7 linked regions of the Ovis aries genome follow. The protein of the gene in region 7 interacts with the protein of the main gene of each other region in a pairwise test. Links are inferred from orthologs where the notes say so. Each region holds a gene or a part of one and is shown on either strand. Other genes may lie near its edges.

Evidence for each region.
Region 1: the proteins of RNF41 (region 7) and AIRIM interact in binary tests that used the Homo sapiens proteins (3 or more experiments, as listed by UniProt). The two-hybrid records come from large-scale screens. The link is inferred for Ovis aries from reciprocal best matches to the Homo sapiens genes RNF41 and AIRIM.
Region 2: the proteins of RNF41 (region 7) and ENOPH1 interact in binary tests that used the Homo sapiens proteins (3 or more experiments, as listed by UniProt). The link is inferred for Ovis aries from reciprocal best matches to the Homo sapiens genes RNF41 and ENOPH1.
Region 3: the proteins of RNF41 (region 7) and UBE2K interact in binary tests that used the Homo sapiens proteins (3 or more experiments, as listed by UniProt). The link is inferred for Ovis aries from reciprocal best matches to the Homo sapiens genes RNF41 and UBE2K.
Region 4: the proteins of RNF41 (region 7) and ISCA2 interact in binary tests that used the Homo sapiens proteins (3 or more experiments, as listed by UniProt). The link is inferred for Ovis aries from reciprocal best matches to the Homo sapiens genes RNF41 and ISCA2.
Region 5: the proteins of RNF41 (region 7) and HOMER2 interact in binary tests that used the Homo sapiens proteins (3 or more experiments, as listed by UniProt). The link is inferred for Ovis aries from reciprocal best matches to the Homo sapiens genes RNF41 and HOMER2.
Region 6: the proteins of RNF41 (region 7) and ASB6 interact in binary tests that used the Homo sapiens proteins (3 or more experiments, as listed by UniProt). The link is inferred for Ovis aries from reciprocal best matches to the Homo sapiens genes RNF41 and ASB6.

The regions. Positions count from the first base shown.
Region 1 is NC_056054.1:12,499,422-12,503,428, forward strand, and holds the start of AIRIM (AFG2-interacting ribosome maturation factor), read right to left. Parts: upstream 2,801-4,007; 5' UTR 2,614-2,800; exon of another isoform or gene 2,593-2,613; intron 2,404-2,592; 5' UTR 2,401-2,403; coding exon 2,126-2,400; intron 1-2,125. Other genes in the region: CDCA8 (borealin), read left to right, coding at 3,251-3,347, 3,488-3,616. UniProt on the Homo sapiens protein: Part of the 55LCC heterohexameric ATPase complex which is chromatin-associated and promotes replisome proteostasis to maintain replication fork progression and genome stability.
Region 2 is NC_056059.1:97,940,372-97,944,605, forward strand, and holds the start of ENOPH1 (enolase-phosphatase E1), read left to right. Parts: upstream 1-1,434; 5' UTR 1,435-4,234. UniProt on the Homo sapiens protein: Bifunctional enzyme that catalyzes the enolization of 2,3-diketo-5-methylthiopentyl-1-phosphate (DK-MTP-1-P) into the intermediate 2-hydroxy-3-keto-5-methylthiopentenyl-1-phosphate (HK-MTPenyl-1-P), which is then dephosphorylated to form the acireductone 1,2-dihydroxy-3-keto-5-methylthiopentene (DHK-MTPene).
Region 3 is NC_056059.1:59,572,693-59,576,192, reverse strand, and holds part of UBE2K (ubiquitin-conjugating enzyme E2 K), read right to left. Parts: intron 2,918-3,500; coding exon 2,818-2,917; intron 1-2,817. UniProt on the Homo sapiens protein: Accepts ubiquitin from the E1 complex and catalyzes its covalent attachment to other proteins. In vitro, in the presence or in the absence of BRCA1-BARD1 E3 ubiquitin-protein ligase complex, catalyzes the synthesis of 'Lys-48'-linked polyubiquitin chains.
Region 4 is NC_056060.1:83,866,196-83,870,374, reverse strand, and holds the start of ISCA2 (iron-sulfur cluster assembly 2 homolog, mitochondrial), read right to left. Parts: upstream 2,801-4,179; 5' UTR 2,793-2,800; coding exon 2,728-2,792; intron 1,903-2,727; coding exon 1,797-1,902; intron 1,681-1,796; coding exon 1,565-1,680; intron 1,126-1,564; coding exon 951-1,125; 3' UTR 1-950. Other genes in the region: NPC2 (NPC intracellular cholesterol transporter 2), read left to right, coding at 3,230-3,311. UniProt on the Homo sapiens protein: Involved in the maturation of mitochondrial 4Fe-4S proteins functioning late in the iron-sulfur cluster assembly pathway. May be involved in the binding of an intermediate of Fe/S cluster assembly.
Region 5 is NC_056071.1:22,434,833-22,438,332, forward strand, and holds part of HOMER2 (homer protein homolog 2), read right to left. Parts: intron 2,937-3,500; coding exon 2,826-2,936; intron 1,655-2,825; coding exon 1,574-1,654; intron 121-1,573; coding exon 1-120. UniProt on the Homo sapiens protein: Postsynaptic density scaffolding protein. Binds and cross-links cytoplasmic regions of GRM1, GRM5, ITPR1, DNM3, RYR1, RYR2, SHANK1 and SHANK3.
Region 6 is NC_056056.1:6,876,127-6,880,205, reverse strand, and holds the start of ASB6 (ankyrin repeat and SOCS box protein 6), read right to left. Parts: upstream 2,801-4,079; 5' UTR 2,646-2,800; coding exon 2,533-2,645; intron 1,487-2,532; coding exon 1,305-1,486; intron 328-1,304; coding exon 221-327; intron 126-220; coding exon 17-125; intron 1-16. UniProt on the Homo sapiens protein: Probable substrate-recognition component of a SCF-like ECS (Elongin-Cullin-SOCS-box protein) E3 ubiquitin-protein ligase complex which mediates the ubiquitination and subsequent proteasomal degradation of target proteins.
Region 7 is NC_056056.1:163,346,186-163,348,383, reverse strand, and holds part of RNF41 (E3 ubiquitin-protein ligase NRDP1), read right to left. Parts: exon of another isoform or gene 1,919-2,198; coding exon 1,815-1,918; intron 1,039-1,814; coding exon 687-1,038; 3' UTR 1-686. UniProt on the Homo sapiens protein: Acts as E3 ubiquitin-protein ligase and regulates the degradation of target proteins. Polyubiquitinates MYD88. Negatively regulates MYD88-dependent production of pro-inflammatory cytokines.

The sequences.
Region 1 (4,007 bases), on a different chromosome or scaffold from region 7:
CCAAGAACATCTTGGACCTGATGATTCTTTGTGGTGGAGGGCTGCACTGTAGGTTGTAGGTTGTTCAGCAGCAACCTGGGCCTCTACCTACTAGATGACAAAAGCAAACTATGTCCCCACCCATCTCAAGCTGTGGCAATCAATACTGTCTCCAGATACTGCCACACATCCCAATGGGAAAAACTGCCTCCGAAGGAGATCTACTGGTCCCAGGTGCCTTGGATGGAGGGGTGGCTTAACAATTAAGAATTGACTTAAAGATGATGAGGCTGAAGTTACATCACTCTCAAAAGCTGTGTGATGGGCCCAGCTGCCAAAGATAGTAAAGACCAAGCAGGCTTTCTGGGACTCCCATAAAGGAGAGGAAATGTTCACACATAGTCTAAGGCCACATATGTGAAAGGAATTAGCAAGAGGAAACTACAGCAATAGAGCAGTCTTGCGCTCATGCTATATCGTGCCCCACCCTCGTGAATTCCTGAATGGGTAAAATTTGAGCTCTTGACGCACACAGATTATTGTCGATCTCAGGAAAGTTACTTATTCTCAATCACGAACAAAAACAAGTCTCTTTTGTTCACTGTGCATCCTAAGTACCTAAAACACTGAGACTGGCCGACAAAGCAACAAACATTTGTCCAGTGAATGAAAAGGACTGTTGTGAAGAGTAAATACAATAATGCATATTAAGCCATTAGGGAAGTACCTAGCTTATGGCAAATTTTATTATTTTTACATGATTATTTTAAAAATTATTATATAATTATTTTAAAAGTTATTATTCCATTAGTGACTCCAAGAGGTCTAGCCATAAGACGAAGGCTACAACTTCCCAAAGGGCAAGGAACTCCCTAGCCTAGAACTGCAGCTTTCAAGTTTGACTGTGACTCACAATAAAAACTAGGCTAAAAATAACAGCCCAATACCCACATAAAAACATGTAATCAACTGAAATAAAAGTTCGCTACCTTAGAATGTATAATGACCTAACTTAACTGACTCTTTTACTCAACTTAGGAACTAAGTCGGCCTTACTATTGTATTCCTGCTGCTGCTGCTGCTGCTGCTGCTGCTAAGTCGCTTCAGTCGTATCCAACTCTGTGCGACCCCATAGACGGCAGCCCACCAGGCTCCCCTGTCCCTGGGATTCTCCAGGCAAGAACACTGGAGTGGGTTGCCATTTCCTTCTCCAATGCATGAAAGTGAAAAGTGAAAGTGAAGTCACTCAGTCATGTCCGACTCTTTGAGACCCCATGGATCGCAGCCTACCAGGCTCTTCCATCCATGGGATTTTCCAGGCAACAGTACTGGAGTCGGGTGCCATTGCCTTCTCCATTGTATTCCTAGCACCTGTGTTTTGCATCCCATGGGTTCTTAATGTTTTTAGTACAGATAAATACAAAGAAGGCCCCCATCTTTGAGTTTCCTATCAGTCTATGGCAAACCCTACACACTAGAACCTTCTTTCATCCTGGTTAAGGGAAGGCCATATGTGCCTTCTCTCTTCTCTATCCCCAATTACCTGTAATTCTAAGATCGAAGGCCTAACATTGGTGCTTCTCCTCGCTCAGACACCAATGTACAGCAGAACAAAGCGGTGGTTAGGAGCTTCTGGCCCCAGTGCCAGAGGCACTCGGATGAGCATCCCAGCTTTACTATTTACTAACTGCCTGAGCACAGGCAATTTGCGTGAGCCTCAGTTTCCTCACTTGAAAAATGGGATTAAGTGAGGTTAAGTCACAGTTGTTGAAAAGATTTTATGAGATAATGTATGTAAAATCCTTGCTGCTGGCACCTACTAAGTTTACAGTGTAACTCCTGCTGCTTTCTACCTAAGGAAAACTACAGTGGAGGGTCAATGAGCTTTCTCCATTGCTTTTCTGTTCTGCTTTGGTAACTTTTACTAAGTCCACCACTGTCATGCCTAGCTGATAAGGGAAATGCCAGAAAATGGTTTTTTGACAGAGAGAGGTCCCACTGCAACAGATGGAAAGGGGGTAAGGCTGTCACATCCCCAAATACCATTCTCTTAAGGAGAAAAACCCCCTTTCTCACTGATCCTAGATTATTAAATACCCAGTTTTAACATCTCTAGGCCAAGAAAGAGCGCCACTGTGCCTCTTACAGCCTCTCTCCTAGCTTGTCCAGGATAGTGTCACCAGCCGCCAGCTGCTTGCGCCTCAGCCGCTCCTTTAGGTCTGGGAAGGCCCGAAGTGAGGGCACATCCTCAAATCGCAGGTTCTGTGTGGCTTGCAGCTGCTCTGCCAGGTTGCTGAGGGAGGCCAGGAGGGGCGGGCAGTCTCTCAGAGCACTCTGCCACAGGCCCTGCTGCTCGTCCACCACAGGAAAGCACTTCCTCAGGGCCTCCTGCACGGCAAGCAAAGGCTGATCTTCAGTCATCTTCTATTGTAGGGGTGAAAACAAAAACAAAACCCAGGAAAAAACAAATATCATTAGGGTCCCAAGTCGACAGGCAAAGGGCCGAGTCAAGGGTGGGAGTTATTTCCGTTCTCAGAGAGGTCCAGCTAAACAAAGTTTGCTCATGTAGGGCCGTCCATCCCTCCCGACAGGTGTTTCTAGCGCGAGTCTTACCTTCAGAGAGGCTCAACCTACCCCTTGGCTTAGGGCAGTTTCAGACTGAAGGTTCACTGGGCCGATCCGTGCTTCCGGAGCCAGAATCTTATCTCCTCTACTTGAGGTTTCCGGCCGCTCTTCTAAACCAGCGGGAAAACAAAACTAAAGCAATAACACTTTAAGGAAATTCCAAGACTCCGCACACCTCCGCTGTGTCTCTGCGCATGCCCAGACGTGGTTACAGAGTCGCGAAAAAGATGCGGTCGGACCGCAATGCCTTCTGGGTGCTGTAGTTTACGTGTGGACTGGCTGCCCAATTGCGAAGCTTCTCTGTGATTGGCTGTTGTGAAACCCTCCTAAGACGGCGGCTTTTTATTGGCCAGCCTTTGGCAGTTTGAATTTGGTGGCGGCGGTCTCACGTCGCTTTCGTCCCGGAGCGGCTCCTTCTCGGCTGAAGCAGCCGGGTTTTTCCTCAGCCCGGGTTTCAGAACCTGCAGGTGGGTGCCTCGCGAATCCTTTATTCCTCGGGCCCGGAAGGGCAGGGGTCCCCAATTCAAACCCCCAGGGGGGCCCTCCACCCTCCCTCGCCCCCTTGCGGCCCCCTCTCCTTCACCATCTCCGCCGCTGACGCCTTGTGCCTCCGCCCCTAGCTCCCCGCAGCCTCCATCGAAGGGCCATGGCTCCGTCTAGGAAGGGCGGCAGTCGGGTGGCTAAGACCAATGTGCTGCGGAACCGAAAGCTCGCCTCCTTTCTTAAGGACTTCGACCGTGAAGGTGAGGGGCGGAGCCCGGGTGGTCGCGGTCACTTGGGGGCAATCGCGGGGTGCTGGAGGACTGGGACGCGGGCAGCAGGGATTCCGGGAACCTTTTCCCCGCGGGGTGACCCGTGCCGTGTCCTCTCTGCCCTCTCGCAGTGCAAATGCGATCCAAGCAAATTCAGTCAGACAGGCAGAACCTCCTCAAAGAGTTGGATAACCTGTACAACATTGAGATCCTGCGACTCCCCAAGGCGCTGCGCGAAATGAACTGGCTCGAATACTTCGGTAAGAGCTCCTGGTCTTTCCCCAGGCCTCGGCCTGGAGCCCTTCTGTGGTTACCATGGCAGCTTTTATCTTCTCAATGAGGTCTTAGAAGGAAATTGCAGGCCTACTCCTCCCCGATCCGTCTCACCTCCCTGCTTTTCTTCTTAGCACTTTCCCTCATCTTCCTCTGCAGGCAGGCAAATATTTTCTCTAAAGGAGGAGATAATAAGTATTTTAGGCTTTGTAGGCCAGAAGGTTCTCTGTCCAAACTACTCATGCTGTTATAGTTCAAAAACAGCTGTAATGAATGGGCATAGCTGTTTTCCAACAGAAATCTATTTATGGAAACACTGAAATGTGAATTTGACAGATTTCAGATTCCATGTGTCATGAAATACTCTTTTTTTGAGGG
Region 2 (4,234 bases), on a different chromosome or scaffold from region 7:
CAGTAATATTGTCCTCAGAGGCCCTTCTGGAACCTCAATGGACCCTTCCCAGGGGACTCCACTTTCAAAAACACGGATTGCTTTTCAAAGACAGAATTCTTTAATACAGAAAAGGGTTCTTTGTCTTCTGGGTATGCACGTGAGGGCTTCATTTCTTAACTTGATTTTCAGTGATTCATTATGTGACCTTCCAACAAGTTCCTTTTTTTAAGTCTTAAAAAAAGTGTGGAGCTGATACTGAATAAAAAGAGACTAACACATGTAGTTTGAAAACTAGTGGGAATCCTGGCACTGGGACCTGGGTGGGATTTCAGAGAGGAGCTCGTGGTCAGACTGGTGTTGGTGCTGCCGCGCTCCAGGAGGCTGGCTGACTCCTGCCCTGGGCCTTGGCTGGGACCAAGTCGTTGTAAATCTGTAAACTAATCAGACCCCTTTGACCAGAAGATCAGGCTCAGGGGATCTGACTCTTTGAACCAAAAAAGGAAAAAGACCTGATTGATAAACTATAGTTTCTTAGTTTATACTTAACCTTTATGTACCTTTGTGAAATGGAGGAAATAAGAGCACTTGTTTCATGGGGTTATTTTGAGGATTGAAATGATGTGATTCAGGTTACTCACTAATCAATGCATTGAGTAGATTTGGAGTGCTTGGGAGCAGTGGCAGATGGTGAGAAGTGATTAGATTCTGGGTGTATTTTGAAGATAGGGCTGACAGCATTTGCTGATGAATTGGTGGGATGTGGAGTGTGAGAGCAAGAGGAGTTGAAGAGGACTCTAAGGCTCTCAGCCTGAGCATCTTGGAAGGATGGAGCTGCCACTTGGCTGAGATGGGACATTGTGGGAGGAGCAGGATTAAGGGCTAGAAACAGGAGTTTGAATTTCAGATATCCAAGTGAGATTTGGGGAAGGTAGTTGGAAAAAAAAAATCAGTCTGGAGTTCAGGGAAGAGGTCCAGGTTCAAGCTGTGGATTTAGGGGTCATTGGCAACAGATGGGTATATGGATGGTGTTGGTGGTAAAGAAAGAGGATGAGATGGTTGGATGGCATCACTCGCGATGGACATGAGTTTGAGCAAGCTCCGGGAGTTGGTGACGGACAGGGAAGCCTGGCGTGCTGCAGTCCATGGGGTCGCAAAGAGTCGGACACGACTGAGCAACTGAACTAACTGCAAAATGGTAGAGAACCTTCTTGCCAGTGCCGGAGACAAGAGATGTGAGTTCGATCCCTGGGTCAGAAAATACACTGGAGGAGGAAATGGCAACCCACTCCAGTATTCTTGCCTGGAGAATCTCATGGATAGAGGAGCCTGGCAGCCTGCTGTCCCTGGGGTTGCACATCATCAGACACAACCGAAGTGATTTAGCACAGCACGGCAACAGATGGCATTTAAAATCATGGATTAGACAAGATCACTGAGGATTGACTGTGGAATGAGAAGTGCCTGGAACGGTGAAGGCTCAGTTAGTGTTGGCAGTTGTTCCCACTATTGCTGTAATTACTCATTATTCCTGTTTATTGGAACAGTTACAGTACTGCCAGGTGAGCCAGAATCTCTCGTTTCTTTTCTTAGTGCAAATCTCTTTGAGAAAAGCTGTATTAGAAATTTCTGTAGGGAATATAATACCGGGATCTGGGGGGTTGGGTGATCCTCCCTGAAGTCATGAACCCACAGAGCTGGATAGACTCAAGCATTGGGCTTCAGTAGACCTGGGTTTGAGTCCTGGCTTTACTGTACCAGCAGTGAAACCTTTTTGAATCTCAGCTGCTTCATTTATTCAGAGAGAGTCACCTTGCACCAATATAGGTGGATTCAAGGAAGTAAATGTCAGTTCCCTCCCCTCCACACTCAACAGGGGCTAGGACTCTGTCCTAGGGCCAGTCAGGGTTCCTGCTCTGAAACTTATGGGATGTTGATGTTCTTTCTCTCTGCTGCTTTTAAAGACCTATCCCAACTACTAGCACTTGTGAATAATGACGACCTTCCCTTGTGAGATGTGATTCATTGCAGTTAATTAGATTACAGTTTATATTTCTTTAATGACAGTTTAATCGTCTTAATGGGATTTAGAAGACAAGTTTGTCTTACAGCATCACATATATTCTTTTTGAATGCAGATGAAGATATTTAGTGTTCATTCCTAAAGGTTTCAGCTTTCAAAGGGGAGTGATTATCTCTGCTTAACCCATGAAAATAGACAGCAGGCTTACCATTTCTGAGCCCTCATGACCCTTTGTAGCAGCCAGAGCTGCAAAACTTCTCTTGGTAGTTCCTCTACCAAGTATGGTCTTCAGGAAGGATATTTAAGGAGCAATTCTAATACCACAACTGTTGAATCTATCTGATGGATGGTGTGGACCACTTCAAGAAGCAGTAGATTCCTCATTGTTAGAAATGTTCAAGCAGGTGCAAATATCCAGTTACAAAGTAAGTAAGTTGTAGAGATGCAGTATACAACATAGTGATTAGAGTTAATAATGCTGTATCGTATATCTGAAGACTGTGAAGAGAGCAGATCTTAAAAGGTCTCATCACAAGAAAAAAACTTGCTTAACTGTGATGGATGTCAGCAAGACTCACTGTGGTGCCCATTTCTCAGTATATACAAACATTCAACCGACGTGTTGTCTTCGTTGTTTAGTCACTAAATCATGTCCGACTCTTTTGCGACCCCATGGAGTGTGGCTCACCAGGCTCTTCTGTCAGTGGGATTCTCCAGGCAGGAATACTGGGGTGGGTTTTTGCCATTCCCTTCTCCAGAGGATCTTCCTGACTCAGGGCTCAAACTTGCATCTCCTGCATTGGTGGGCTTATCCTTTACCATTGAGCCAGGGGGAGACCAATATGTTGCATAACTGCGACTAACACAATGTTATGTATCAATTTTGTCTCAATTTAAAAAAAGACTATACTCTTTCATTGTAGAAATAGATACCTTAAAAAAAAAGTTTTTCCCCTCCCTTGGTATCTCATGTCCCAGAGAAAACCTTTGTAACCTGTTATGTCCATATTCTCTTAGATTTCCTGTTATCTGTTTAGATAGTCCCCAAAATATGATTACCCTGTGTTTTCATTTCTTATTTAAAGAATGTGATTGGTTCTTAGGACCCATCAAGCGACTTGATTTTCCTTTGTTTTTTATCCTCTGGGATTAATACAGAAATAATAGGTCACCAATATTGTCTGTGTGTTGTTTAACTCTCTGCCTGGAAAATGTTAAATTCTCAAATCCTATAAATCATTTGCACCCTGTGGTCCCTTTGGAAAGCTTTTAAAATAGTTTCTTTAAATAGCTGTAGTACTCTAAGTATCACCCATTACCTTTTTATTGCCCATTTTCTTCAAAGGGGACATGAGTAAATATAGCAACAATTTTACTTTTATTGATTCTATGACCTTTTCATTAAAACAGCCACTTGATAATAAAGTAAATCCATATCTAGACTTCTAAACATTTATGAGGCAGCTTCTTTAATTAGATCTTCAGTGATGTTGTGGGCCTTAATGGAGCTCTTTCAGGATGCTATCAGTGGGCTGTGTAGAGTAATATAAACTGCTGCTTGCATAGTACCCCCACTAGCATTTAGTAGGATTTATTGATAATCCTAGTCCCCTGGAAGGTAAATACTGTCGTTTAGTTCTATAGCCTTTTGTCATGTGTGTGTTAGTGTCTTGGTCGTGTCCAGCTTATTGCGACCCCATGGACTGTAGCCCACTAGGTTCCTCTGTCCATGGGGTTCTCCAGACAAATATATAGGAGTGGGTTGCGATGCCTTCTTTCAGGGGATCTTGCTGACCCAGGGATTGAGCCCAGGTCTCCTGCATTGCAGAGAGATTCTTTACCATCTGATCCACCAGGGAAACCCCTTTTGTCGTGAAAGTGAAAGTCGCTCAGTCATGTCTGACTCTTTGTGACCCCATGGAGTATACAGTCCATGGAATTCTCCAGGCCAGAATACTGGAGTGGGTAGCCTTTCCCTTCTCCAGGGGATTTTCTCAACCCAGGGATCGTACCCAGGTCTCCTGCATTGTAGGCGAATTCTTTACCAGCTGAGCCACCAGGGAAGCCTTATACATACTACTAAACTGTAACAACCCTTTAGGTGCCTGGTAGACTAAAAATACTTACATGTTTGTAGAATCCTGGGTTCATTACAGCATTTTTTTTCATATTGCAGAATTGTGAAATTGTCTATAAGTGGATTATAACTGAAGTTAAAGAATTTATCATTGC
Region 3 (3,500 bases), on a different chromosome or scaffold from region 7:
TGATTCACTTTCCACAGCAAACTATGTCACTGAAGGAAAGACTGTTTAATGTGAACTTGCAATTCACAAGTTGCACTGATGAAAGAAAAACAAAGATAAATATTTATCAACTTTAATCTCCAATTTCGACAAAGTAGTAGAAAACTAACAATAAACAGAGTTATTAGAGATGCCTCTAATCATCATGCAGTGGGAAACATTACACAGATAAACAGAATTACTAGCTTCTAAAATTAAGTGGACAGTAAGTAACTAATAAATGTGACCAATTTTTGTATTAATCACAGCTTGGGCTAGAATACAGAGTTGGCTGTTTTGTTAAGAGTTGTATTACTGTAGTGATTTAAGGAAACCCCATGTGCAGTCCTAACTTATAGCACATGTTTTAAGGTGATTATGAACTCACGACAGAGCACTTTTTAAAATGTAAGATTCTTCATATGCATTGGAAGAGGTAAATTTATTCTCAAGTATTCTGAGAATACCATTACTTAATAAAGCAAATTATAAATTTAAAATATGAAATTCACTTTACTATTTCTTAAGATGTTTTATACACACTGCGTTATTTCTATACATTAAAATAATAAATCTAGTTTCTACCATTATTAACAAGGAAATAAGTGAGAAGACCCAACAGAGTCAAAAGAAAACTGAGTCCAATCTCAACCTCTGAGGCTCAGAACTCAACAGGAAATCAAAGCTGAGGCCCAAGCCATGCTTCTATCAAAACTGAAATCAATAGGACATATATAACATGTTAAACCATAGTTCTAAACACTCTACGGCAAATAATAGTAGGACATATTAACAAGAATATACATAAAATAAGGAGTGAACAGTTTTTCAAAGGAAAGGAAGAAGTTTGCAAGAGGAAAAGTTTTCTTAGGCAGGAGGCATGACAGACTGGGTAAAATGACATGTAGGAATGAACATCTTGAATAGCATGAGTTTGAGGAACAGTAAGAATTTAGAACTGTGGTGTTGGAGAAGACTCTTGAGAGTCCCTTGGACTGCAAGGAGATCCAACCAGTCCATCCTAAAGGAGATCAGTCCTGGGTGTTCATTGGAAGGAATGATGCTAAAGCTGAAACTCCAATACTTTGGTCACCTGATGCGAAGAGCTGACTCTTTGGAAAAGACCCTGATCCTAGGAGAGACTGAGGGCAGGAGAAGGGGACAACAGAGGATGAGATGGTTGGATGGCATCATCGACTCGATGGACATGGGTTTGGGTGGACCCCGGGAGTTACTGATGGACAGGGAGGCCTGGCATGCTGCTGTTCATGGCGTCGCAAAGAGTCGGACATGACTGAGCGACTGAACTGAACTGAAGAATTTAGTAGATAGTTCAAATCATGGAGGAAGTTTTCAAACTAAATAATTTGGATTTACCAAGCAGGTGACAGCAGAGGTATTAATAGGTTTTTAATAGTAAAATGAAATAGGATTTGAACTTTATAAAGCTAACTGCTATCAGTGTAGAAGGTAAAGAGAAGAGGCTGAGGTAGGAAATTCCATCAGAGCAGTCAAGTGAGAATTTTTAAATATGTGAACTAAAGCAGTTAGAGAAGTATTATGACAGAGATATTGAGATATGAGAGAAAAGGAGACACAGAGAAGTACTCCATATCTGCGACTTGGATATATAAACAAGCTGTCTATAGAAGGATGGACAGGTTCACAGGGTTTATGAGTCTGCCTTCAGTTACGGGAATGTTGTACTAAGGTACCCATGGGATATTCATATAGAGCTCTCTGGTTCCAAACAGGTTTTTGGGTTTAGGAGAAAGGTCAAGCCTGACTATTGTTATCAACATACAGGTGACAACATCAGTGTGGATATGATCATCCAAATGAGAGTATAAAACAGAAAGTAAAAGAAAGGATGTAATAAGAACTGAGGAAGTGTATTTAAAAGGGAGGAGAGGGAATTCCCTGGGAGCTCAATGATTAGGACTCCACACTTCCACTGCAGGGGCGAGGGTTCCATTCCTGGTTGGGGAACTAAGATTTTAGAGGGCGGGCAACATGGCCAAAAAAAAAAGGGGGCGAGGGAGTAATGGTAGGAACTAAGAGGGAACAACCACAACTACAAAGATAGGAAGAGAAGTCAAGGGATGAAAAAAACTTCTGGGTTAAAAAAAAAAAAACCCCTACAAGGCTCAATAAATCCTAATGGTTTAGAGTAGGAGCTGGCAACCTTTCTTACAATAATTATTCAGGCTTTCAGACCATGTGGTCCCTGTCATAATTATTCAATTCTGCCACCTTCTGCTGTAAACAAATGGGGGTGTTCCAATAAAACGTTATTTACACACCAGTCTGGTTGTAATTTGCTAACCTCTGCCTTGGAAATCAAAGATTAGAACTGAAAAATACTGATTCCATTTGGCAACTACAAGGTCCTAGATAACTTTCACCATGCCACTTCAGTGCCACAGCTGGAACTGATTAACAGTATCATCAGGGAAAGATCATCACTGAATTAAAAGACAAATGGACACACACATGAAGTAAACTGTTAATCATAGAATCAAGACAGTAGGCAGATAAATGGATGTTCACTGTGTAATTCTTAAAAACGGCACAATATATTAGGAAAAAGCAACTGACTGTACTGGGTTTATTTAATACACCCAATTAAACTACTATGTTAAAAAAATCACTAAATTAGGTTTTCCCTATTATATGTAATATAATAATCTCACAGCAAGAAAGGAAACCATTTCCAGATTTAGTTTCAATAGACATATGCTTATGTCCTAACATTGCAAACCACAAGGTAAGGAAGTCTTTCAAAAGAAACCATCTTACCTGATTCGCCACCACTGCATCTTGTGGGTCGTCTGGTTCTGCAGCTGCCAGCAGAGCTTGTAATGACAACAATACCGTGCGCAGAGTCATCGCTGCCGCCCTAAAATTCAAAACCGGAAGATACCCCAGTTGAAAACAGTTTGCATGACAAAGTAGATGTTTTCTGAATAAATATGGAAACTACTGGAGCTAAAAAAGACTTTTATCTCAATCACATAATTAAGTCTTAGAAATGAATAATTATATATCTGCCTACCATACATATATATTTTTAAAAATAATATATATATAATACACAAATATATATATTTTAAAACAAGTAAATCTTTCCATTTCTTAAGATAACTCAAATTGCCTTAGCTTCCCTCCTGCCCCCATTACTGTTGCCAATATTCTGGTCAGCTTTATCTAGTGACTTAACTTTCTATCCATTTCTCTAGACATAAACTTAAAGGGACAAAGTAACATGTGAAACTTCCTTTCAGTGTAACTCTAAAAACAAGATACCATCAAGCAAATATCCTTTACTTTCAAGAAAGTATAAAATTACTTGGAGGGCATTATGCTTAAGTGATATGTCACACACAAAAAATATAATAACATTTAAATGTGTAATCTAAAAAATAAAACAAACTAGTGCCTATAACAAAAAAGTAAACACTAGTGGTTAGCAGTGGGAGAGA
Region 4 (4,179 bases), on a different chromosome or scaffold from region 7:
AATAAAGCAACATATTTTAAAAAGATTTAGTCACTAAATGAGCAAAGAATCACGAAATGTCTTGTGCAAATATGGAGTATGGAGCTTATTTTCAAACTTATGATTCAAGTATCAGTGAGGTTTAGTTCGAAATTTTTCTGGGTGATGGGTTATTGGTTTCGTGAATCTAACACATTCCTAAGTATGAGAAGAAAATGTATCTGCTGTAACAAATGGGAAGCGAAGAATCGGGTGCATAGAAAATAATGGTAAGTAAACTAGCACATTAAGGAAGGGTGAGATGAAAAAGATAACATTTCAACAACAAGGTCCTACTGTATAGCACAGGGGAACTATATTCAATATCCTGTGATAAACCATAATGGAAGAGAAAATAAAAAGGAAAGTATATATGTATATAACTGAGTCACTTCGCTGTACAGCAGAGATTGGCACAATACCGCAAATCAACTATACTTCAATAAAAGTAAGTAAATAAATAAATAGCAAAACAAAAAGATAACATTCCTTTTGGCTTTCTCATCCTCTCTGGTCTAGTAACACAGTGTTCAAGCTATGCAATCTGTGATTCTGATCCACAACACAAATAAATAAGGACTTTCTTTAAAACGAAGCTTTTATACATAGCTATACACATTTGTACAAGTAGCTCTGAAGGCCAGAGAACTAACTCCTGGAACCTTGGAGGTGCTACAGATGATACTGGTTTCAACCAGTTACTAAACCTTAGGTAACAGCATCCACAGGCTTGGCCTTACAACTGTGTAGGAGAAATTAAATCAAGAGTAAAAGTTTCACATTCTGAAAATAGTGGTGAAACAACATCCTGAATTAAGGGAAAATAAAATTGAGAGAGGGTCATGATAGGAAGGAAACTTCTAGAATTGTTCTAATCCCAGGTTCCTCAAATCAGTCAGATGATAGCAATCTCCGGGTCACTTGTCATCACATCAAAGTTTGACAGAGAAGGATGATCCACAAGAGCAACCTTGCTGTGCTTGAGGATTGTTCAACACTTGAAATGAGCTTCGGATCAGTTCTTGGCTGAAGTCCACATGGGCCCCTTTGACGAAGGCCAAGCTATCAGAGTCAACCACCACTCTTGCCCCACCCTTTTCAAACACCCTGAAAAGAAGGGAGGAAGGCATTAATGAACATCATAAACACCAGAGACATAACACCCTCTGAGCCCAGAGATGCCCATCCTGTTTTCTAAAATACTGAGGAAGCTTCCCTTATGACCTCTAACAGGTACTGATTTTCTCTGAGGCAAAAAGATCTAATGGAAAGAGTACTGGGAAATTATAGAAATTTAGGCCTGGAAACTTTCTAGTCCAGCTTGACTCTCTACCAATGACCCTATGGACTTAGGCCAATTTTCCTCCTATGACTTAGTTATTTTGAATCAAGGCAACAAATCTTCACTGTATCCCCACTGTGTGAGAAGGGTGGTGCAATGTTATCCTTAGCAGAAGTTTTAAATGTGGAATAAAAGTGCATCTTAAATTGGAGACACTTTTATCCCTCCTGCACATTCTCGGAGGACCCACCCCTTTCTCCTTGCCTGTCGTCGGGGTTGATAACTGTATCCAGTGAAAATTTGTACTGGAATCCGGAGCATCCACCTCCCTCCACCTCCAGCCTGAGGAATTCTGACCCTTCGGTGATTTCCAGAAGCCTCTGAAATGCAGGAAGGAGAGTCAAGAATGCCAGGCAAGGAGAGAAAGAAGGGTGGACCAAAAGGAAATCCTCCCCCTCCCCCCACCACCACCCCTGCCCCGCGACCGGCTTCTCACCTGGACGCAGCTGTCGGTGAGGTGGATCTGCCCTTCGCCAGCTTCAGGGCTAGAGGACGACACTTCCCGAAGCGCCCGGGGTCCGCGGGAGGCCGTGAGAATCCTGCTGCGCAAGGGAGGTGGATGAGATTGGGAGCAGAAGAGCACCTAGAACCCTCCACGTGGACAGCCCCACGCCAAATCTGAAGTCCTCCCACCGGACAGCCCCACGCCAAACCTGAAGTTCCCCCACCGGACAGCCTCACGCCAAACCTGAAGTCTCCCCACCCGGCCAGCCTCACGCCAAATCTGAAGTCCCCCCACCGGACAGCCCCACGCCAAACCTGAAGTCTCCCCACCCGGCCAGCCTCACGCCAAATCTGAAGTCCTCCCACCGGACAGCCCCACGCCAAACCTGAAGTCTCCCCACCCGGCCAGCCTCACGCCAAATCTGAAGTCTCCCCACCCGGACAGCCTCACGCCAAATCTGAAGTCCTCCCACCGGACAGCCCCACGCCAAACCTGAAGTCTCCCCACCCGGCCAGCCTCACGCCAAACCTGAAGTCTCCCCACCCGGCCAGCCTCACGCCAAATCTGAAGTCCTCCCACCGGACAGCCCCACGCCAAACCTGAAGTCCCCCCACCGGACAGCCTCACGCCAAACCTGAAGTCTCCCTACCCAGCCAGCCTCACGCCAAACCTGAAGTTCCCCCACCCGGACAGTTCACGCCAAACCTGAAGTGCCTCCACCTGGACAGCCTCACGCCAAACCTGAAGTCTCCCCACCCGGCCAGCCTCACGCCAAACCTGAAGTTCCCCCACCCGGACAGCTCACGCCAAACCTGAAGTCCCTTCCCCTAACAGCCTCACGCCAAACCTTCACCTCCCCAGCGAGCCTTAGTTCTCCTGAGTCTTGGAGGGCCTAACCAGGTGCTTTTTTAGGCTTGGTTACCTGCTCCTTTGCCAGGGAGTCACCACTCTCAGGGCCACAGCTGTTAGCCCCCGGACGGCCGCCATTTTCTTCTGCAGGCTCCGCCCCCTCACAGTTCCCCAATCGCCTTCCGCGCCTGGGCCTCGGGAGGTGGGATCCACGGAAACCCCGCCCCCAAGCACATCTATTGGGAGATGTGGAAGGAGAAGGGACTTGATTGGCTAGAAATGCTCCCATTGCGGAAGTGGGGACGCACCCACAAAGCCCAGGCGGAGCGCCGGATGAAGATGGATCCCGCTTGCCCTGCGGCGGAGCGGAGCGGATGGGCGGAGTTTGCTAGAGTCTCGGACCCCTTGTCTGGCTCCGTGGACCCGGGGGCGGGGCGCGGACAGGCCTCGGCCCCGCTGGCCAGTGACCAGCCGCCTGACTGGGCTCCTCCCCAGGCCCGGCCCGTCCCTGAAGACTTTATCTTGTGACCGAGACAGCTGGTTCTCCCTTCCTTGAGCTTGGAGCCTCAGCAGCGATGCGTTTCTTGGCCGTCTCGTTCCTGTTCCTGGCACTCAGTGCCTCCGCCCTGGCCGAGCCGGTGAAATTCAAGGACTGCGGTGAGCCCCGGGGCCAGTCCGAAGTTCCCGCGCCCTCTGCGGGAGCCCCTGACAGAATCTGATGCTAAGACTGCTGGGCTGGGTTTGGCGGGTCCTGCGAGCAGCCAGGCTCAGCCTCGGACCCTTCGTGAAGTGGGCTGAAGTCAGTTGGGGTAGGGGACAAGGTGCTGGCCTGGATAAAACGCGACCTCTCACAACTTTATCTCATCAACCCATGTTTGGGTCCCAGCACATTCCTGGAGGTGGGCTTTTTGCTGAAGTTTCCCAAAGTTTGTAGGGCAAACAGCCGAAGGTTCACTTGCCGCTTGCGGCGTCAGGGGTGCGGTGCAAAACCTCTCTTTATTATGCCTTGTGTCTTGGATGCCCGTTCCGTCCCCACTCCTTTTGCTTTTTTTTACATTTCCCTTTTGATGACACATCAAAAGTCAATTCTCCTTTCATGAGCTATTCCTTTAGGGCTTCCTTTTGGGCTATGACACTTTTAATTCTTTCCGGTTTTCTCCTCCTATTTATAAAACTCTTGTTTCTGGTCGCAACTTGTGATGCATAACCCTCTCTTGCAGCTGTGGTTGGAGAAATACAACAGGGTAGAAATTGAGTTCCTTCAGTCAAATCTATCCAAATTAAATGTTTGAGCAGAGCTTTTCTGAAGTGGAGAGGTGTAATGATAAGTGAAAGAGAAATGAAACTGACTTTATAAAATTTGTGAACTGGAAGGAAACTTGGAGATCCTATAATCAATCATGGGCTTTCCAGGTGGCACTAGTGGTAAAGAACTTGCCTGCCAGTGCAGGAGATGCAAGAGAGGAGGTTTGATTCCTGAGTCGGGAAGATCCTCTGGAGGAGGAAATGGCAACCCATTCCAATA
Region 5 (3,500 bases), on a different chromosome or scaffold from region 7:
CACCTCCAAGAAGCTCTTCAGCTCCACCTTCAGGTGGCGCTGTCGGTACTTGCTCTCCTCGATGTCCGTCTTCAGGGACCGCACTTTGTCCTCCAGGTTCTGATTGTCTCTTTCCGCCGCCTGCAGCGGAAGGAGAGAGGGCGGACTGCTGATACAGTGGAGGGCAGTCCGCCTGCCAATGCAGGGGACGCGGGTTCGATCCCAGGTCTGGGAAGGTTCCACAGGCCTCGGAGCAACTGAGCCCAGGCACCACAACTACGGAGCCTTTGCTCTAGAGCTGGGGAGATGCAACTAGTGAAGCCCCCATGCTCGGCAGCAAGAGAAGCCACCGCAGTGAGAAGCCCGTGCACCGCAACCAAGTGTGCCCCTGCTCACGACAACCGGAGAGAGCCCAGCACAGTAACGAAGACCCCGCGCAGCCAAAGGCAAATTCATGAGCGACAGAAAGAAGGGTCTGGGAACAAAGCAGGAGCCCACTGAGACCTGTGATAGTCAGTCAGTTGGTCCCCGCGGTAGGCCTGCCTCTGGAGGTGTCAAGTGCTCCCCCACCCCCGGAAATCAGGTGTGTGCCCCTCCTTCCTGCTGTTTGCCAGCAGCGATCTCATCTTAAAACGATGCCCACAGAGAATGCAGAACTCCGAGTTCTGCCCAAAGCAGCCTGGTGCCAAGCGATGCTTTCATAAAGTGCCTGGCAGAGGAAATCTGACATCCCAGCCTATGGGGTTTTCAGCCCCAGGCCCAGGGTTTTCAGCAGGGGCCCCTCTGGGTTCCATTCTGGGGGAGAAACAGCATGCATGGGAGAGTGACTTGTCTCCCCTGAGAAGGCAAGGCCTCCTTGGCCCCAGGCCAGCTGCTGGCTGTCCGTGAGGGAGCATTGGCCGTGCCAGACGCAGGGACGGTGGGTCTGCGCACCGGCTGTCCTGTGGTGTTGCCATGGAGACAGTCAAGCTCCCAGTGGCGGGACTGCTGTGAGTCCTTACGTGATCATTCTTCATAGCAAACAAGAGCTTCCATCTTGTGGGGATAAAATGAGGCCTTCTAAAAATGTGTTACAGGAACCAGTTACTAACACTGAGCCTGTGTGCCTGAACAAAGTGCTCTAGAAGTGAGGAGACCCTCGGAGGTGAGGGAGGACCTGAAAACACTCCCTCTGTGGATCAGAAATCTGAGGCCAGGAAGAGGCGTGCCTGCCCAAGGTCATATCCAAGGTCTCTGGCTGAGGCAGTGGAACAGTCCCTGGTCTGAGGCTCTCCCTAGCCCCTCCCTCTGTCCCCTGCTCCTTCCTGGCCCTTCTGTGGGTCTGCAGGGACTTCTGCTGGCAGGAAACAGCCTCCTGCACTACAGTTACACACATGACACCTTTGTATAAGTGGAAAAACAAAAAGGCAGACACAGCTGAGTCTTCCCCTGGAGGCAGAGCAGGCAACCAGCAAGTAGTTACACTGGCTGTTTAGGGATCCAAAGTCACTCTTCTTCACCAAGTGAGGCGAGAATGGGAGAGGCCTCGGAGAAATGGGTAACATGACGGATGCCTTCACACCTGAGTCAAAGTGCATGTGCTCCCCGCTCTTACCTCTAACTTCTCAGAGACGTATTCACACTCTGACATGAGCTGAGGTATGATTTCACTTTGTTTTCGGAGGTCTATCAACTCCTACAGGGGACAGAAGTTTGAAGAAGAATATGAGAGCAAGTGAGATAAAATGTATTCTTGAAAATCCCCAACTTTGTGTGTACAGTCATGGAAGCAGCTTTTGGAACCTGTGTTGTCCGTGTAAATAACGGTGATGATATTATACCTAACACACATCAGGTAATTCTAAAGGCTGATTATGTCCCGTGAATTAAAGCATGAAGCCTGCATACCACCATGAAAAGAGAAGCATGATTTCTCTTTTTGTAGGGAAACTGAGGCTGAGAGAGGACTGGTAACTTGCCCACAGTCTCCAGCCTCTGTGGACAGTGAGTCCCCTCCATACGGACCTTCGAGCTGCAGACTTACACAGATGAGAACGTGCATTCGCACGTCCACTTGCGTAAATCAGTTCATGTGCCTGGTGTACACTGGCACGTGCAAGCATCCTCCACACGTGGCTGAGCTTTTGTGTCCCTTACTACACAGGACTGTATAGAGGACAGCAGTATAGTATCTTTATTTCAAGTCCAGGAGGTCCAGAAGCAAGTGTCAAAGCAGTGCTGAGGTAGCTGATACTACTGTACTTTTCAAGGTACTAAACCACAAGATTAAAAATGTTTTATTTTTTGGGTTTGCTTTTTATGTATTATTTGTGTGAAAAGTATGATAAACCTATTACAGCACAGTACTACGTAGCTGATTGTGTTAGTTGGGTACCTAGGCTAACTTTGTTGGACTTAGGAACAAACTGGACTTGTGAACATGCTCTCGGAATGGGACTCGTTTGTGCAGAGGTGAGCCACTGTACTTAGCTGTCCTGTCCCCCCAGGAGATAAATGACTGTGTGACTGGGGGTTCTTGCTGCATTAATTTGACAGCAGAACTCAACTTCTGATGAGGGACCATCTACGAAAGTTTCCAAGAGCGTTTGAAAATGCCCAACTCCTCCTGGATCTGAGAGACTGTCTATATATAATAAACACAAGGAGGCTGCACGGGGTGATGGTCAGGCCTTTGCTCTGGGCTCTTTGTGCCTTGGTGTGGCTCCTGGCTCTGTCTCTGTGCTGCTGTCTGGACAGCTGCCAGGGCCGATCACACGTCCCACGGCCACCTGCCGTGTCCCTGGGTGGAGACCACCCGCCAAGGCCGAGGGGATGTGAGCAGCACGGCTCAGAGCTCTGCCACTCACCGTCTCCTTTTCTCGGAGCTCTGATTCTAGCTCCTCAATCCTTCTCTTCAACTGGGTATTCTTCTCCTTCTCTCTGTTGATCTCGCTGCACTGCTCTTCCAGCTCGTCAATCTTTAATAATAAATATCACATGTTAAAGCAGGGGTGCCAGTTTACTTTGGGCTTCTCTGGTGGCTCAGACAGTAAAGAATCCGCCTGCAGTGCAGGAGACCCAGGTTTGATTCCTGGGTTGGGAAGATCCCCCGGAGAAGGGAATGGCTACCAACTCTAGTATTCTTCCCTGGAGAATTCCATGGACAGAGAAGCCTGGCTGGCTGCAGTCCATGGGTTTTACTTTAATCATTAAACAAGAGATTGCCACAGCTCTTTTAAAATAAACCCTAAATTAACCCACTTACAAATGTTTCCTTGTGGCTACAAATGAATGCTATGGGGCTGCCCCAGGCTGTTTGCTCATACTGGCACAAGGCACCTCACTTAATGCTAGAGAAGCCATGGAAGTCACACAACCTGGCTTCAGGATGCTCCAGGATTCTGGTTTTCTCTCGCAGCCGCAGGACAGTAGTTCTAGGTTTGCTTTTAAGGATCTGTCACAAATAGGGGCTACATGTCCCATGAATCTGTCTGCTTCTCCCCAGAATGACGTTCACATTACTTTAATCATGCCCTGAATGA
Region 6 (4,079 bases), about 160 Mb from region 7:
TCCCAGGAGCACCCACCATGCTTGTCGGCCGCATTGACGTCTGCTCCGAGGTCCAGGAGGCGTTGCAGGCAGGGCAGGCGCTCCGGCTCCTCGCTGGCCAGGTCCAGGGGGCTGCTCTCGTGGATCTGAGCCAAGAAAGCACAGCCAGGTTGGCCCTGGGGCCTGTGAGCGGCTCAGGGCCCCGGCCACATGCCTCCTTCAGAGCAGGGCTGGCTCTTACCCGGTCCCTCCGGTTGATGTCGGCCCCGTGGCGCACCAGCAGCTCTACCATGTCAGGCTGGTTTCGCAGGACGGCGATGTGCAGCGCCGTGTAGTAGGTGACCGGGTCTGAAGGCGCAGACACAGCTCACATCAGCCCTGCCCGACGGCACATTCTCACAGGATTCCAGGACCAGCCTGGCAGCCTAGCCCCAACGCTCCGACCCAAGGGCTCCTGGCACCGTGAGGGGTCAGGACACAGCTGTCCTCGTCAGACGCTAGGGTGCTCAGTCAGGCCTAGGTTCGGGTCCTGGGGAGGTGTTCCAGTGAACGGACAAGGTACTTAATCTGGGTTTTAGTCCCTTTTGTAAAATAGGACCTAAAACAAGGCTGTGGGGAGGAACACCCACAAATGCTCAAAGCTGGGTCTCCCAAGTGACTGACTGCAGAACGCCTCCCCCGCTCCTTGACCTCCCAGGAGCCCAGCCGCCTCTGAGCCTGTCCTCCAAAGGGGAGGAGAGACACGCCTGGCACGTCCTGTATCAGCACAAAAACCCCATTCGGGAACAAGTCAGTCCCGAGTGTCTCCCGGCTGACCTTGCCTGCCCCCCCAACCCCCCACCCAGGGCAAAACAAAGAGGGAAGGAAGATGGCTCCATCAGCACCTCCCGGGCACACCAGCTAGACGCCAACACCATCAGTCCGTGATTTATGCCCAATGTGTCTTATCTGTTTCCCCCCTCTCCCTGTGGCAGGAACCAGCATGCAACATGGCTCAGAACCAGCGGCAGAAAATTACTTTCCCTTAGCTCTGGGCACAGTGCCAGCAGCCCCATTTTTGCATTAATGGAAGCAAGGATTTAGCTGGGAGCTGGGGGAAAGTTTGCTAAGTCAGTCGCCTGATAGGAGCAGCGACAAACTTGCTCCTGATCAGAGGTGGTTGAGGGCCTCTGGGAAACTGCAGGGGGTGGGAGGCCACCCAGTGTGGGTTTCCTCAGGCATCACCCCTGAAGAGATGAGGGCAGAGCCTGGAGGCTTGACTGCCCACCCCCGGCAGGCCACACTCAAGCCATCTATCCACCCCAGCCCTCCAGGCTCCGGCAGACCTTCAAAGTTGAGGTTGGCTCCATTCCGCAGGAGCACAGCGGCTGCGCGCGGCAGCCCCAGCTCGGCCATCTTCAGCAGGGCGTTGCTCACGCCTTCCTGGTAAAATGGAGAGTGGGCTTTTCTCTCCAGCAGCTCGGTGAGAACAAGGATGCGGCTCTCCTCGCTGGCAGCATAACTGGGCCTGGGGCAGGAGAGAGGAGCAGCTGAGGGTGGGACAGGTTGGCAGGGCACCCTGCGGGTAAGTGGCCTTGGTCTCCTGCAGTCACCCCCACTTCGCCCCCACTCCCACCCCAGGCAGGGCCCTGGCTCCATGGGGCAGAAAGTCTCTTCCGAAAAGGTTGGTGGACCAAGCTGGATCTTTTCAATGGAGCAGACTCCAGGTTTGCTGAGAAAGGACTGGGGCTGTCATCAACCTCCTTCCAAGTCACCCATACAACCTGGCCCCTGACTTAGGTACAAAGCCTCATACACCTGCGCTGTTGGCACTGAAGGGAACCCTTGCGGCCAAAGGCAAGAACCAGACACCGACTAACCCGGGGCTGCAGAAGGTGCTGCACCCCAGCTCAGGCCGCCCAGCAGCCAGGGCGGTCAGAAGACCTCCCAAAGCCCGATCACACTCAGAGACGGTTTGGTCCACCAAAGGCTGAGGGACCCAGAAAGCCCTTTGCACCACAGCCCCAACCCGCCTACCCCCCCTCGCCAATTCCAACTGATGCCCAAAACACACCCCCGATCCCCCCTCTCCTCGGCTCTTTTCTCCACTCCACGTAAGGCAGTATATACCACTTTAACCACTGTCAGCCTCTCTCTGGTAGCACGATCACCACGAAGGGTGAGGGTTTTAGCTCGCCGATGTAACCTCTAAACGATGCGCTTTCTGAACAGCCTTCCCACAGGCTAACGTATGACAGACGCGCGCCTGTCTATACCAAACGAGAAACTCCGGGCTACAGAAAGCTCATCCCGCGCCGCGTTTACCGACTACATCCTGCTCCTCTGCAGCTCCAGGTAGAGGGCACAGGACCGGCAGGGCGCAGGGTGGGGCGCTGAGGCAGAGGCCCTGCCGCCACCCCGCCCCACGGGCCTCCCTGAGCGGGCCGCGGCCGCCTCCACCCATCCCCGCCCGCCCTCGGTCTCCTCTGACAGATGAGGACACCGCCCGCCATATTTGTGGGGACAAGGAAAGGGGTGCCGCGCCGGTCTGAGGCGGGGAAGGGCGCGAGTTACCCGTCCAGGGGCTCCTGCCGCTCGGGGTCCTGGATGCCCAAGGAGCCCAGGATAGCATCCACGAGCGGCTGGTACTCGAAGATAATCCTCCGGAAGCCATGCAGGAACGGCATGGCGGCGGCCGCACCTTCCACCGAGGCCGAGACGTCGACTGGGATACGTCGCGGAGCCCGCGGTCCTGACCAGGTTCGGCCGCTCGCTGGGTCCAGTCCCCCGCCCCGCGCCCGGCCCGGTGCACCGCCCAACCCGGGGCTACGCGCCGGAAGTCACCCGCGCGCTTCCGGCCCGCTCAAGCCCCGGGGAAGGGATCGCGGCGGCGGCGACAGCGCCCTCTGCGGTTTCGGAGGATCGCGGTGCGATTGGGCGCGCAAGCTAGGGGTGCCTTGCGGGGACAGCTCCGCAGGACTGGAGGGCGCAGACCGGCAGCCAAGTCCGATCTCAGCCCTAGGCCCGGAAGCTCCTTTCCCGGCCCGGCCCAGCTCCGCCTTGCTATCCCGCTCGCGGCCGCTGGGCGCCGTCCTAGCTCCGCCCATTGAGCGAGCACACACCGGCCGGATCCGTGCCCAGCTCCCAGGAAGGACCCCCGGTGCCCCCGACTTGGGTGGGAGTTGGGTCGGACCACGGTTGGGCCTGGCTTTCACCTTCTCCCCAGGCTGACTGGACCACACCCACCCTGACGGGCGATGGGGACGATTCCTTAGCCCTTGCAGCCTACTGGGGCTTCCACTTTCTGCCTTGATGGACTCAATGAACTTTACTTTCTACATCTGTAAAATGGGGATAATCAAACCCACGCAAGATCTTGGGTCAAGAGCTCTGTTACTGTCAGTTGAATCTAACAGGAATGAGCCCAAGGCTGGGGCCACTTTTCTAAGGAGTAGCGTCTGGCCTTGGGCCTCGCATTCGAACGTCCACAACCTTGAGGCCCAGGGTGGAGCCTTGATGCCTTCGTGATTCTGGATAGCTCGTCGTGAAGGGGTGCGCCAGTCCCAGCCGCTCAGGTGGCAGCCTTGGTCTCCCATCGCCCCCACCCTCCACCACGTGGGCTTGGGAGTCTCTCCCACCTGACACTCGTCAGGGACAAGTCTTGAAGGAAGTGGAAAACGTTTAGAGATGAATTTAAAGACAACCCCATGTGCCTACAATTAAACATAAAAAAATGGGTAGAGTAGGGCTCCCCCATCCCCGACCCCGGCCACCAAGAAAAACGCAATCCAAAGCCTTCCAGGCCAGCGATGGGGACCCAGCAGGGTCCAGTATGCAGCAAGGGCTGGACAATTGCTTGCTTATAATTCTTCAGTTCACAAGGTTGTTGTGCAGATCAAGAGATGAACCTTTAAAATCCCCATCAGGTCTCAGAAGACCTAATTTTGCTTCCCCCTCCGTTGCCTAAAGGAGCAAGAAAAGTGGTAGGGGGATCAGCAGGGAATCTGCCTGTAATTCAGGAGACCTGGGTTCGATCCCTGGGTCGGGAAGATCCCCTGGAAGAGGAAATGGCAACCCACTCCAGTATTCTTGCCTGGAGAATTCCACGGACAGAGGAGCCT
Region 7 (2,198 bases):
AACCCTGTCATTGCCTAACTGTGAGAAAGTGTAGGAAAGAAGAGCTCATCTGAAAATATTCGGCATCCCCAACTGTACACCCGCAGGCCCGGCAGGAGCCCACACCTTTAAGTGGCCTGGGGGTATTGCTTGGCACCGAGGTCCAGTCTTCTCTTAAGGGCTGCCAGCGATGGCCTACTGGCCTCATTATTTATTTCTAGGCTTTTGTTCCACTCTACCATGTCTTCAGGATGTCTGCTCCCCACAGCTGCCCTCTAAGTGCTGTTCAGAGTCAACAGACTTGCCTCATCTGGATTCCCAGGTTTTGGAGGAGGGGAACAGTTAGCGATTCCTCACTCCATCCTGATCCTCTATCAAAAATGAGTATCTTTGTGCTTTCTGAAAATATCTGGAACCAGGGACCCTAGGCAGGAAAACAGAAATAGAGATGGGGACTTTCCCAATCAGGTGGAAAATTTACAGACATCTTGGGGGAACAAATTAGACAAAAGGAGGGAATCTGGGTTTCCCACCTGAAAGGCTGAGCAGAGTGCCCTGCGGCCCCCTTCAGTGGTGGCACAGCTGGGACACGTGTGGCTCCAGGGTAAGCCACGGTATTAAGGAAAGTGGGGAGGACTTGGGGCCCTGCTGCTGGAGTGACAGGATCTTCAGATTTTCATCTCTTCCAGAGAGCCCATCAAGATCTCCTATATCTCTTCCACACCATGCGCAAAGATCATGACGAGCCCAGGCTCCTGCACCATGTCGTCACCCATGTGCTGGTTCTCACAGGCCATCACGACAACAGCCTGCTTGCCAGGGATGCGCTTGGCCACGTAGTTCTCATAGTAACGCCGGTTCATCTGTCTTGTCTCTAACGTAGCCAGACCCTGGGGCCAGCTCCGCTCGTGGGCGTTTTCAATCAGCTCATTGACAATAGAGGCAGGACAGCCACTCTCCACCAGGGAGCGCTTGATGACAGCCTGGAGCACAGCGTCAGGGGTGGAGATCATGCCGCCCCAGCGGGTCACTCGTGCAGGCTGCAGGGAGTTCACCCACCTGTGTGGAGGGAGTTGGAGGGGGTCAGTGAAGGTCAGCCCCTTTCTCTGCACTGGCTTTCCTCCTAATAGTAACGACTGCCTGCTCTGCCCTCAGCCTAACTTGATTCCTCCTTCTTTCCTTCCACCATTGGTTCAGAAACTCCAGATCTTTCCCTAGGTGGTCCCATCTGAGTGTCAGCACGTGTTCCTCACCGGATTAAACCCCACAAGTGTAGGGTTCCTGTTGTTTCTTCTGAAAATTCCAATACTTAGCACATGGTGCCTGGCAGGTAGTAAGTATTCAACAAAAATGAATACCGAATGAAGCAATGATTCCTCTATTCTGTGTCCCTTGCAGCACTGTATAGACTGACTCACAGTTTAGTCTATGAACTATGTAGAACTCTAAAACTGAAAGGGATCTTAGACTTCACTTGTTTTTGCCACATTTTAGATCACTTTCCTGGATCTTTGCACTCTCTTCTCTGAATTGTAAACTCCCTGAAGACAGGGACAATATTTTCTCTTTTAACACAGGGTTTTGTGCATGTGGGTACCCACCTAACTCTTAGGTAAGCTTTCCGTTCCATCCACCAAAAATATGAGATCCTGTACTGGGGCTGAAGGTGATCCCCTTCTTTTCCGCCTCGTGTTCTTCATCCCATCATCTGAGGAGCAGTGGCCCCGGCCCAGCCCTCTTCTTACCCTCCCCCTCTGCCACTTCCCTGCTCTTCTCTCCTCAGGGCTCAGTGTCAGGACATGGAACGAGGATTCCACATCCTGAATGACACTCACTCTAGAATCTCGTTGTACTCAATGGTCTCTTCCAGGTTCTGAAGGTTGGGATTGACACTGCGAATTGCACGCATGTATGCCTTGAGCAGCTGAATGTCTCGCTTCTGTCGGAGGGAAGGAGAACAAGGGATAATGGTTAAGACAGACAATGGATGAAAGACAAAATGAAGGAAATCGAGAGGTCTGAGGAACAACCAGACTGGAAGGTTCATGAAGACAAGGATACGACTGTATCAATCCCAGCTGTACCCTCAGTGCTTGGCAAAGTGCCTCCAAGGGAAGGCATTTGATAAATGGTAAATAAATGAATGTCACTGATGGGATAATGAGGAACAAGAAGAGCTCCAGTCTGATTCGCTGTTATGCATAGGCAGAGTATCCACT